Linked DNA regions of Macaca mulatta. The protein of the gene in region 1 purifies or fractionates together with the protein of each later gene. This does not show direct contact. Links are inferred from orthologs where the notes say so. Each region holds a gene or a part of one and is shown in the gene's direction. Other genes may lie near its edges.

Region 1 (3,751 bases):
GCTCAGTGGGGGAGCTTTTTGAGCCAGGATGAGCCAGGAAAAGGAACTTCACAAGATAATATAATTGCTTAAGGCAAGGGCTGGCCATTTTCACTTCTTTTGTGGTAGAATGTCATCAGTTACTGCAAGGCAGGGCATTTGCACTTCTTTTGTGATTCTTCAGTTACTTCAGGCCATCTGGGCATACGTGCAAGTCACAGGGGATGCGATGGTTTGGCTTGGGCTCAGAGGCCTGACAGGTGCACAGAGCTAGGACCCCACCCCCTCCTGGCCTGGACCACCCTGGGCCATCTCCCCAGCTTGACACTCAGGCCAGAGGCTGTCAGGCCAGGGCGCTTTGACTATCCCCTGCATGCCCCTGAAGGGGGCCAAGCCCGAGGACTTAGCCAAGCCCTGCAACCTAAGGCTTGGCGTGCAGCCCAGCCTTTCCTTAGCCTTAGCTAGGAGCGAGCAAGCGCTGCAGCAGCCGCAGTCCTTGCTTCCGGGGAAGGCCCGGGTGGCGCCAGGGCCTGTGGTTTAAGTCGGTGGCCCTCTGCAGACGCGCACGCAGGAGCCACGCCCTGGTCCCTGCCCTGGAGTGGCCTGGTCTCTCCCAGCTCTGATTCCTTGAAGGACCCTGCACCTCCTCAGCCATCTTCTCTGGGCACCCCCTGAGCTCAGCCTGCTGGCCACAGGCCCCTTCCCGCCAACTCGTGGGCCTAGCTCATCATCAAACTATTTTCCATTGGCTTCCCCCAATCTCTGCCACAGCACAATTTCGGTGGTGGCGGGGCAGGGGGAGGTGGAGAGGGATGAAGAATAGGAGGTGGAGCTTGGACCCTCGTGGGGGGGCGGCAGATGGCCACTCTGATTGGTCACCTCTGCTCCAGAACTGGCTTCAAAATTCCACGGACTCCGCCCTCGGTGGCCCCCAGCCCTGTCCTGACTTGCAATTGGCTGAACTTCCAGGGGGCGGGGCTCACCCGGTCCGGTCCCGTTAAAAGGGTGGGAGCGTCCGGGGGCCCATCTCTCTCGGGTGGAGTCTTCTAACAGCTGGTGCGCCTCTCCTGGCAACATCCTCCTGGCCTCAATCATGGCTTGTGTGAGTGTGGGGACCCCACCCCAAGGTCCAGGGGATAGGGCAGGAGCTGATGGCCGGAGGAGAGCTGGGCAGATCGGGAGCAGGGTTCTAGCCCCAGCTGTGTGGCCTGGAACCACTGCCTTCTCTTTTCTAGACCTCAGTAGCCACATCTGTAAAATTGGGGTGGGCGCCATGGTCCCTCAAGGCCTTCTCTGCATTGATAATTGTTTGGATTCCTCCAGGGTCTGAAAGCACAGTTATTTCTGCCCAGGGTTGACATTCTGCAGCTCTCTGAGTAGTGAGCGTGGGAAGGGTGTGGCCAACTGGGGGACACCCAGGCCACTATATCTTTCCCCCTCCTCCACCCCAAAAAGCCTCCCGTCCCCTCCCCCCTGCAGCTGTCCCAGTCACCAGGCCCGGGCAGAGTCACCCTCTGCTCCAGAATACGCTGAAAAGTCGCCAGGACCCGAGACAGGCTGCCCAGGATGGGCCTTTCTAGGTCGGGGGTGGAGGGTGGTTGTGTCCAGGCTGGTGGGAGGGAGGGGAGCCGGGGAAATTCCCTTCCACCACCCCCAAGCTGGGAGGTTGGGGTGGCAGGGAGGTGAGAATCTTCCTCGGGCCCCAGGGAAAGGGTTCAAGTTTCTGACAGAAGAAACCACTCAAATCAGTTAACTCTTGCCCACCCACTCGGGGTGCCAGGGAGCAGCAGTGCGCAGCAGTTTTCTCAATCTTGTTAACCCTGAACCAGCCTGGCCACAGCCCGACTGCAGGCCACTCCCTAATGCAGAGGGGCCGTGTTCTTCAGGGTCTCCTCTCTAGCCCCTGGGCCTCTTCGCAGAGAGGAGCTTGAAGGAGAATAGTAGTGTCCCCCTAGCCACTTCCTCTCCAGCAGAGGGGTCGACCCCTGCATTCAGTGTGACTGTGGGCCAACTGCCTGCCCCTCCCCAGCCTGATCCTCTCTATCTGCGATGGGACAGAGCACCCCACCTCCCAAGCCACTCTTGAGTTCAAAATCCCCAGGCCAATCTGCAAAATCTTCTAGAGCCTGTCTTCTAGAACCTGATTCACATTACAGATTGAAGCCAACCCTGTTGGGAATAGGGACTTTTCCAGGACCACACAGAGAATCAGAGGCTAGAAATCACAGCCCCATCCTGTCCCCAGGCTTCCCCTTGGCTTGGTCAGAGGATGCCGGGCGGGAACAACCCCACTCCCACCCCCAGCCACCCCCGGACACTTCGGGTAGTGGAGGCCTTGTCCTCTAACCTGCTGGGCCGGGGCTTGTCTGTGCAGGGTCTGGTCGCCAGCAACCTGAATCTCAAACCTGGAGAGTGCCTCCGAGTGCGGGGCGAGGTGGCCCCCGACGCCAAGAGGTGAGAGGTGAAGTCAGGGTGGTGGGCGGCAGGGATGGGGGCTTGGTCCAGCCGAGAGGGCGTGGCCGGCCAAGTCCACGTCTCCTCCCTGGCCGAGAGTGGGTTAACGGCCGGCCGACGTTGCTGCGCTTTCTGGGTGACTCACTTCCCCCGCGGGGTCTGGGCGCCCCCACCATTGCCGCCCCCTCCCCCGCTCCCTCCCTGCTGTAGCCTCTTAAACTACAACAGCTGCAGCCTCGTCATCTATAATACCTTGGTTCCCCCGCCCCCACCCCTTTCCGGTCTGGGCGGGGCCTGCATCTGGGGAGGGCGGGGAGAAGAGTGAGGCGGGAGTCACCGCCGCCTTCCCTCTGAGTCCCTCCCTCCTGCGTCAGGTCATTCATTCACTGGCTCAGTCCTGTCCTTCTTCCTTCACTCCTCGTTCACTCAGCCGGCTGCCTTATTTTCTCAGCAGCTATGTGACCTTGGACCAGTCAACCAACCTCACCTAGCCTCATTTTGTTAGAAAAACAAGGGGGGGGAGGTGGTTGTGTGGAGGAAGTGAGATGCCGATGGTGTAGTGATGATGAGGAGGGTGAGGATCGGCTGATATTGTTAAGAGCTGATATTGTTAAGAGCCGTACACTTCTCATGCACTAATTTCATTGCAACCAAACCCTCAGAGGCAGGTATAGCTATTATCACCACTAAACAAATGCATTTATTATTTTATTTTTTGAGACGGAGTCTCACCCTGTCCTCCAGGCTGGAGTGCAATGGCTTGATCTCGGCTCACCACAACCTCCATCTCCTGGGTTCAAACGATTCTCCTGCCTCAGCCTCCCGAGTAGCTGGGACTACAGGTGCCTACCACCACGCCCAGCTACTTTTTGTACTTTTAGTAGAGATGGGGGTTCACCATGTTGGCCAGGCTGGTCTCGAACCCCTGACCTCATGATCTGCCCACCTCGGCCTCCCAAAGTGCTGGGGTTACAGGAGTGAGCCACCGTGCCCAGGAGTATTATTATTTGTTAATTCACCCCATAATTACTAAGCATCTCCTTCTGGTGTGCCCCACTTGTGCTGGGCACCAGGAACACAGATGTACAAGACAGGACGTGAAGTTGCCATCTGGAGGAAGTCTCTGACCTTGACCAAAAGGGCTAGGACGCTAGTGACTTCAAGAATCTAGCAAGTCCTCCTGTGCAGCCCCCATTGTACAGATGAGCAAACAGGCAAGGAGGGGCAGGGACTAGCTCACGTTCACACCGTAAGCAGCTGTCAGGGCCAGAGCTAGAATCCAGGTTTCTTGTCTCTGTTAGTGAGTTCTTCAAGCAAA
Region 2 (3,651 bases), on another chromosome or scaffold:
AATCCCAACACATGGCCACAAACAAAGTTAGAGTACCACTGCTATTAATTTAAAGGACATCAGTTCTCCACAACTAAGCATAACAATTTTTCATTAACCAAATAAGAATAACAGTAACCCTCTTTGGTGTTGGTATGAGACCTTTTAAAGTAGAAATCTGAGAAATTATTAGTTTATCGAATTAATGCTGAGCGTACATTATTAAGATAATGACTGAATTTCCTTTCTTCTCCCTCACTAGCATTAAGGTGACACGCAGAATGCCTCTTAGCTTCAGTCATTCATTTGTAATCAAATATTTATTAAAAACTTTTTAGGTGTCACACATAAGAGTTGCATATCCCAAGGATGATTCAAACAATGGCAGACAATAAACATCTTATTTGTTTATTTTTCTGGAAATATAAACTTCTGTTGTTTTAGCCACAAACATGTTAGTACAGTAGAAGTATGCATTAGAATCGGACAAGAGTGAAAAATGCAGTGGATCTATTTTACTATTTGCTATTTGTTTTACTGTCGTTTGTGAAAACTACTTTATAAAGAGATATGTATTCCTTCCATGTTCCCTGCCACTTATAGGATTTAAAGCTGACCATGATGAATTGAACCCATTTATTATTTAACAAATAAAAACTCTTGGTCAGGTCTGATTTAGATATATAGGTCCAGCCACAATAACTTTAAGTCCAATAAACTCTAATCCTTTCAAAACAAAAACAATCATCTTCATAAAAAAATGTATATTAATTTGTTAACGTGTGCATTACGCCCCAGAAGCCTGCAGTTTATTGTGTAGTTCTCAGATTCCTTGTTATGTAAACAATTATTGTGATGGCAGTAAAATTGTTCATGTCCATTAGGAATAAATAGCTTTTAGCATTATAATATTAATTTTATATAAAACTCAATAATAAAATTTTATCCATATTATGTCTCTAAAAGTTTTATCTGCTGCTGATAAACATTTTTAATGTAAGATCTTTTTTTAATTATTTTTTAAAGAGAATAGCAAATAACAAATTCTGTTTGTCCTTTTTATGTATATCCTGAGTCCTTTTTGTATTGTGGGCATAAGTGATTGTTTTATCCCCAACTATACTTGTCAAAGAAAAGGAAATCTAAGGGATGTTGTTGCTTGTTTGTCTTTTCCTTGGGGGAAAAACGCAACTGTTAACCTTAGATGTACCACTGTGTGTTGCTGGTTTAGTCTAAGTACAATCAAGAGGAAGCTACATTTTCCAAAATTCCATAAATCAGAATTCCAAAGAGGAAGATTTGAAATGAGACATGAAAGGGCATGAAATAATAATAGCAGAGGCTTTGTAAAATAGAGAGCATAGGAAAAGGTTTCAATATAAAATATGTCATGGACAAAAAAATAGCATGGGAGCGAAGACATTGAATTTTGGAGTTAATGGCCTAGGATTTATATTCGCTATTCCGCCACTCCAAGCTGTGTGACCTGGTCTAATGACATAAGTTTGCAAAGCTCAGTTTCTTAATTTGTAAACTGTGCATAATCATAATACCCACTGATAGGATTATCATGAGAATTAAATGAGACCAACCTTGTAAAGCATTTTGCACAAAACCTATCATTCAATAATTAATAGCTTAAAACACACTAATAAGATTACCTAACTACATAGTTAATTATCATGTTCACCATATGGTGCTTGGCACTTTACAAAGCACTTTACCATGTGGTATCCTACGTGGTAAATAGCATTTTCATCTTAATTCCTAAATGAGGAAACTGAGTTATTTAGTGTGGGCCCTGCCTCTGTTCCCATAGCTTGGGTTAAAGCTAGGAGAGGAGCCAAAGCCTTCTAACCCCACAAAGCCCAGCTCCCAGTCTGCCTGCCTGCCTCACACAACAAGGGGCAATTCCTCCAGGTGACTGTCCTGTCTTCTTAAGGAAAATAAAATGATGGGATGAGGGCCAGCTTCAGATTCATCAGCATGGTTTATGCTGGGCAGGTGGAGGTCTGTGTTTCTCTGAAGGCTGGGTTGTTTGGATAATTTTGCATGTATCGTGTTTCCAGAAATGTGTAGTCTAACATTAAGAAGCTAAATACAGATTTTTTTCAAAAACTCTATATTTTCAATTGATTGGAGTGGTGAATTATAAAGTTGCTGTGGATGTTGCCAAGCCGTATTCTGTTTACAGTGGATAATTGTGTCTTTCTCTAGGCATGTCAGCATCGCTCTAATTCAGAGATAATCTGCTGTACCACTCCTTCCCTGCAACAGCTGAATCTGCAACTCCCTCTGAAAACCAAAGCCTTTTTCATGTTAGATGGGATCCTTTCCAAATACTTTGATCTCATTTATGTACATAATCCTGTGTTTAAGCCTTTTGAAAAGCCAGTAATGATCTCAATGGGCAATGAAAATGTACTGGAAATTAAGGTAAGAAATGCTTTAAACACTGTCTTAAATCATCAGCTCAAACTTAATTGACTTCATAGCTATGTGAATACAATTGTTGTACTTGGCCGTTGTATCTTATGCAACACCAGCAAATATATAAGCTCTGAAAAACAAATCTTTTTGGCATAAAACTAAAAGATAAGAATAACCGTGGACTGCATTTTAATGAACCATTTAAAAACCCTTTCTTGTGTATGTATTAAAACGTAGCAAATGTGGGACACAAATCCATTAAAGAGGATCCCTGTGCTGCATTATCTTGCTGATGTTATACGTTTCCCCGGACATTTTACCTAAATGTGCTCATTATAAGATAAAACATAAGAGCTGTGAAAGTAAATGCATCAATTGTATCTCTGTACTTCCTTGTTATACTTGGAATTTTGTATCTGGGTGTGGTCATCTCTAAGCTAATTTGTAAATGGAACTAGATATCTGCCACCTTAGGAACATATTAGCTTCTAAATATAATTTAATAGAGAATAACAGGTCATCTTTTCTAAAGCAAGCCTGTTGCAAACAAAGAACACTAAGACCCAGAAAGGTTAAGTGATTGACAAGTGACAAAAGAGTGGCAGAATAATAAAGACTAGAGTGCAGCTTTTTTATGTCCCTTCAGTTATTTCTACTTCAAATAATAACACAGGCAAAATGCTCAAGACTTGAATTATTCATAGCTGCAGTCACTAGAAACAGCAAAATATTTATCCTTCAACATGTTGTTAAAACGTTTAGAAATTTTTTTTTCTTGAAAGATGATCTGAATGCAAATATGAACAAACATAAAGCAATAGGATAGTCTTTATTTGGGTGCAATATAGGCTTTCATGGGACATATCCATCTAAGTAATAATATATTTCCATCAAAATTTTTCTGACTTTTTCAACAAAAATTTAACTACAGCCCAACTTATGCATATGTTCACGCTCATACAAGTTTACTAACCTCATTATTGTGTTTTGTACGATAATTAAGCAAGCCCAGCATGAAATTGAATGGAAGCCCGCTTCAATGAACAGTGTGTTTACAACAGCAAAGTCCTTTCATCTGCTTCTTTAATTAGTTTTAGAAAGGGAGAAATAAGCTTTTATCACTTCTTTTTTTTTTTCAATAAAACTAATCTAGTGTGACCTTTTGCTTTCAACAATTACTGTTTTTGCCATTTGAAAGATTCCAATTGGTTTTTCTTGATGATAACAAAGGTTTATGTGCAA
Region 3 (3,651 bases), on another chromosome or scaffold:
CACTCCAGCCTGGGCAACACAGCAAGACTCCGTAAAAATAATAATCACTGATTATCTATTAGCACATTACCTTCAGTCATTTTTCCCTATGAATATATAGTTCTTAAAATATCCTTCTTCTAAGCTGTAGAGTCATTTGAGGGACTAGTTTGCTCCGATTAGTTACCTTGTCTTTTCATTTCAAAGATCTTCCAAGCACAGCCACTTCCGTGAACATCCCTGACCTGCTTCCTGGCCGAAAATACATTGTAAATGTCTATGAGATATCTGAGGATGGGGAGCAGAGTTTGATCCTGTCTACTTCACAAACAACAGGTACCTGTGTGCTACATAATGTTAAAAGAATCTTTTTCTGTAAAACACAGGCCTGTAGTAGCACTTCCTGACTGTTTGCCCCACTTTCTTTCTTTCTTAGCGCCCGATGCCCCTCCTGACCCGACTGTGGACCAAGTTGATGACACCTCAATTGTTGTTCGCTGGAGCAGACCCCAGGCTCCCATCACAGGTCAGCTGAGCCTCCCGCTCTTTGGCTGCTATGTTAATCTTAATGACATCAACAGGGAGGGCGCAGATTCTGACTGTGGATCTGCATATCACTTTAAATCTCCAATATAATTTATGGGAGAGAGGTGTGTGTGTGTGTGTGTGTGTGTGTGTGTGTGTGTGTCGGGGGGAGTTATTTTCTATGGCACATTTCCCCTCGAAACCATTTTACCAACTCCCTTATACACACACACCACAACATACACACAACCTGTAAAGCCAGCTCATTGGCTTATTAAAGCAAGTGTTCCCAGGGTTGAAGAGGTGTAATTTTCCTGAAAACCTTGCTCTAAGATTTATCCTTAAGGAGAAAGCTGAGCTGCCTTCTTAGCTCATTAGGTGATTCAACTGCCTCATCACTGAAGTTCCAAAAAGACACACACAGTGCTAGACAACTCTGCTCAGGCTGGTTCATTAATTGCTTCCCTCATCTGGAGCTCAAAGAGGAAAAATCAGCTTAACATGAATATTTTCACCTAATGGCATCTCTAATTGACATTTATTAAGGATCTCAGGTCTTCAAGGATGACATTTATTATTAACAAGGTTTGCATGACTGTTCTTATTTTATCTTCGTGCTGAGTAGTCATTATTACAAGAAGTGGCAATATTAAAAGAGTCAAAAAGAATCACTGGCTCTTCACTAATCAAGCAAGATGCTAAGGAATATTCGAAAAGGGAGGATTTATGGTGTTTCTAAGCCTCGGTCTCAAAGAAAACAGTGCATCTTAACTTTTGTTGATCCATCTGCAGGGTACAGAATAGTCTATTCACCGTCAGTAGAAGGCAGCAGCACAGAACTCAACCTTCCTGAAACTGCAAACTCCGTCACCCTCAGTGACTTGCAACCTGGCGTTCAGTATAACATCACTATCTTTGCCGTGGAAGAAAATCAAGAAAGTACACCTGTTTTCATTCAACAAGAAACCACTGGCACCCCACGTTCAGGTAACTTTTTTAAGAAGACACTTCCTATGTTATGTTATCAAGATTGTTCCTGAGGGGGGGTGGTTTTGTCTCTGTCAATAGTTCCCACATTCAAATAATCTTATGCAATAGTTTTTCCCTAAACTTCTGATGTTTAGCTGAAATGTCATAAGTAACTTATCAAAGCTGGCTACTGGCCTTTCTTATTAAAAACCAACACCATAACGTCCGTCTACAAATTTTCTCCCAGAAGCTCAAGGGTCATTTCATCTTTGATTCTTAAGTATTATAAAATGATTCAGTAAAACAAAAACCATTACATTATTTTCTGCAGTTATTTCAAAGGTTTTTGTTTGTTTTGTTTTGTTTTTTAGTATCTTTTCTTATAATCCTCTCCCCTCACCATCATATGACACTTCATATGCTGGTAACTCATTTATTACCTAACTATTTTAGACAAAAGGTTCAAATGTCATAATTTAAGCACTATGACGGGGCCATGAAAATATGATCTGATTAAGAGACAAAACTTAGCAAAACTCTCGAATGAGAGGCTCAGTGAACTGCCTATCATATCCGAGAAACTGGCTTCTTAAAAATAATCTTCAGCAGAAAATGTGAATGACTGGTTGACTCTTGTCTGTCAGATACAGTGCCCTCTCCCAGGGACCTGCAGTTTGTGGAAGTGACAGACGTGAAGGTCACCATCATGTGGACACCGCCTGAGAGTGCAGTGACCGGCTACCGCGTGGATGTGATCCCCGTCAACCTGCCTGGGGAGCACGGGCAGAGGTTGCCCATCAGCAGGAACACCTTCGCAGAAGTCACCGGGCTGTCCCCTGGGGTCACCTATTACTTCAAAGTCTTTGCCGTGAACCACGGGAGGGAGAGCAAGCCTCTGACTGCCGAACAGACAACCAGTATGTCTTTTCCTATCTTTACCTCCCCTCCAAATTCTCCACCCTCACTTCCAGCCCGTGAGGAAGTGCAGCAAACCATTGACTCAGAGGTGTATGGCTTAGAGAGAGGGAAATACCCAGCTGGCAAGGGAATGCATAGTGAACACAAAGCACATTAAACTTGAAAACAAAACTCAAACAAGCTCCATGAGGCTAAGTGGTAACCCATTTCTAAAATACATGTATCAGCTGAAGGGTACTAAGAGGGAGAACTGAAGAGAATCTAATTTGAGTGCATTTTTCCTGTAACTAAATATATCTAGATCAAAGTTAAAATGCAGGATCGTAACACAGTAGAATTCATTTAAGAATAGCAATTGTCAAGTATCTAGTATTACTAGCCACCAGCTTATCTGCTCAGTTTTTACAAGCATTATTCTCATATTTACTCTCTGTTTTGACCTTAGGAAGGAAGGTCTTATTATTATTATTATTTTTTATTTTTTTGAGATGGAGTCTCGCTCTGTCGCCAGGGCTGGACAGTAGTGGCGCAGTCTCAGCTCACTGCAACCTCCACCTCCTGGGTTCAAGCGATTCTCTTGCCTCAGCCTCCCAAGTAGCTGGGACTACAGGCATGCGCTACCATGCCCTGCTAATTTTTGTATTTTTAGTAGAAACAGGTTTCACTATGTTGGCCAGGCTGGTCTCAAACTCCTGACCTCAAGTGATCCACCCACCTTGGCCTCCCAAAGTGCTAGGATTACAGGCATGAGCCATCGTGCCCAGCTGGAAGGTCTTACTAGTATCCATATTGAATACATAAAGAAACTGAGGCTTTAAAAAAATTCTGGAACTTGTAGGGTCACAGAGATAGGAATGGATAGAGCTGGCTCTATAACCTATGTCCAAAGCCCATGCTCTGAATTATTATACTTGACTGCCTCTTAAATATTTCCTCTATTTGAAATGTAATTTAAATTTCGGTGGGAAAACTGCTGGTTATTATTCTTAAGAATAAACTCCACAACTTATGTGATTCTGATAGTGCAAACTCACCAGTATCCTACCATGAATCTGAGGATATGTTATCATTACTGTAATTACTGTCTAATCTGAACCATGTGAAAATAACTTTTATTTCTCTAGCAGGGACTCTTCACAGAATATTGCTTCTGACCCATAGAGAGCTTCTTCTTGCTGTCATTTTAGGAGGCATATCCCTTTTTCCTTAATCTGTTTGGCTCAGAGCAACCTGTGAAGTTCAGAAGTGTTTGTTTTGCCT

The links. Proteins that work in one complex are often made in the same cells at the same time.
Region 2: the proteins of LGALS1 (region 1) and MET purify together in Homo sapiens (affinity purification with mass spectrometry; 3 studies listed by BioGRID and IntAct, with this or other methods). This does not show direct contact. The link is inferred for Macaca mulatta from reciprocal best matches to the Homo sapiens genes LGALS1 and MET.
Region 3: the proteins of LGALS1 (region 1) and FN1 purify together in Homo sapiens (affinity purification with mass spectrometry; 3 studies listed by BioGRID and IntAct, with this or other methods). This does not show direct contact. The link is inferred for Macaca mulatta from reciprocal best matches to the Homo sapiens genes LGALS1 and FN1.

Annotation. Positions count from the first base shown.
Region 1 is NC_133415.1:13,851,763-13,855,513, reverse strand, and holds the start of LGALS1 (galectin-1), read left to right. Parts: upstream 1-1,012; 5' UTR 1,013-1,072; coding exon 1,073-1,081; intron 1,082-2,353; coding exon 2,354-2,433; intron 2,434-3,751. UniProt on the Homo sapiens protein: Lectin that binds beta-galactoside and a wide array of complex carbohydrates. Plays a role in regulating apoptosis, cell proliferation and cell differentiation. Inhibits CD45 protein phosphatase activity and therefore the dephosphorylation of Lyn kinase.
Region 2 is NC_133408.1:156,310,809-156,314,459, forward strand, and holds part of MET (hepatocyte growth factor receptor), read left to right. Parts: intron 1-2,196; coding exon 2,197-2,415; intron 2,416-3,651. UniProt on the Homo sapiens protein: Receptor tyrosine kinase that transduces signals from the extracellular matrix into the cytoplasm by binding to hepatocyte growth factor/HGF ligand. Regulates many physiological processes including proliferation, scattering, morphogenesis and survival.
Region 3 is NC_133417.1:120,612,030-120,615,680, reverse strand, and holds part of FN1 (fibronectin), read left to right. Parts: intron 1-186; coding exon 187-315; intron 316-415; coding exon 416-505; intron 506-1,296; coding exon 1,297-1,491; intron 1,492-2,117; coding exon 2,118-2,390; intron 2,391-3,651. UniProt on the Homo sapiens protein: Fibronectins bind cell surfaces and various compounds including collagen, fibrin, heparin, DNA, and actin. Fibronectins are involved in cell adhesion, cell motility, opsonization, wound healing, and maintenance of cell shape.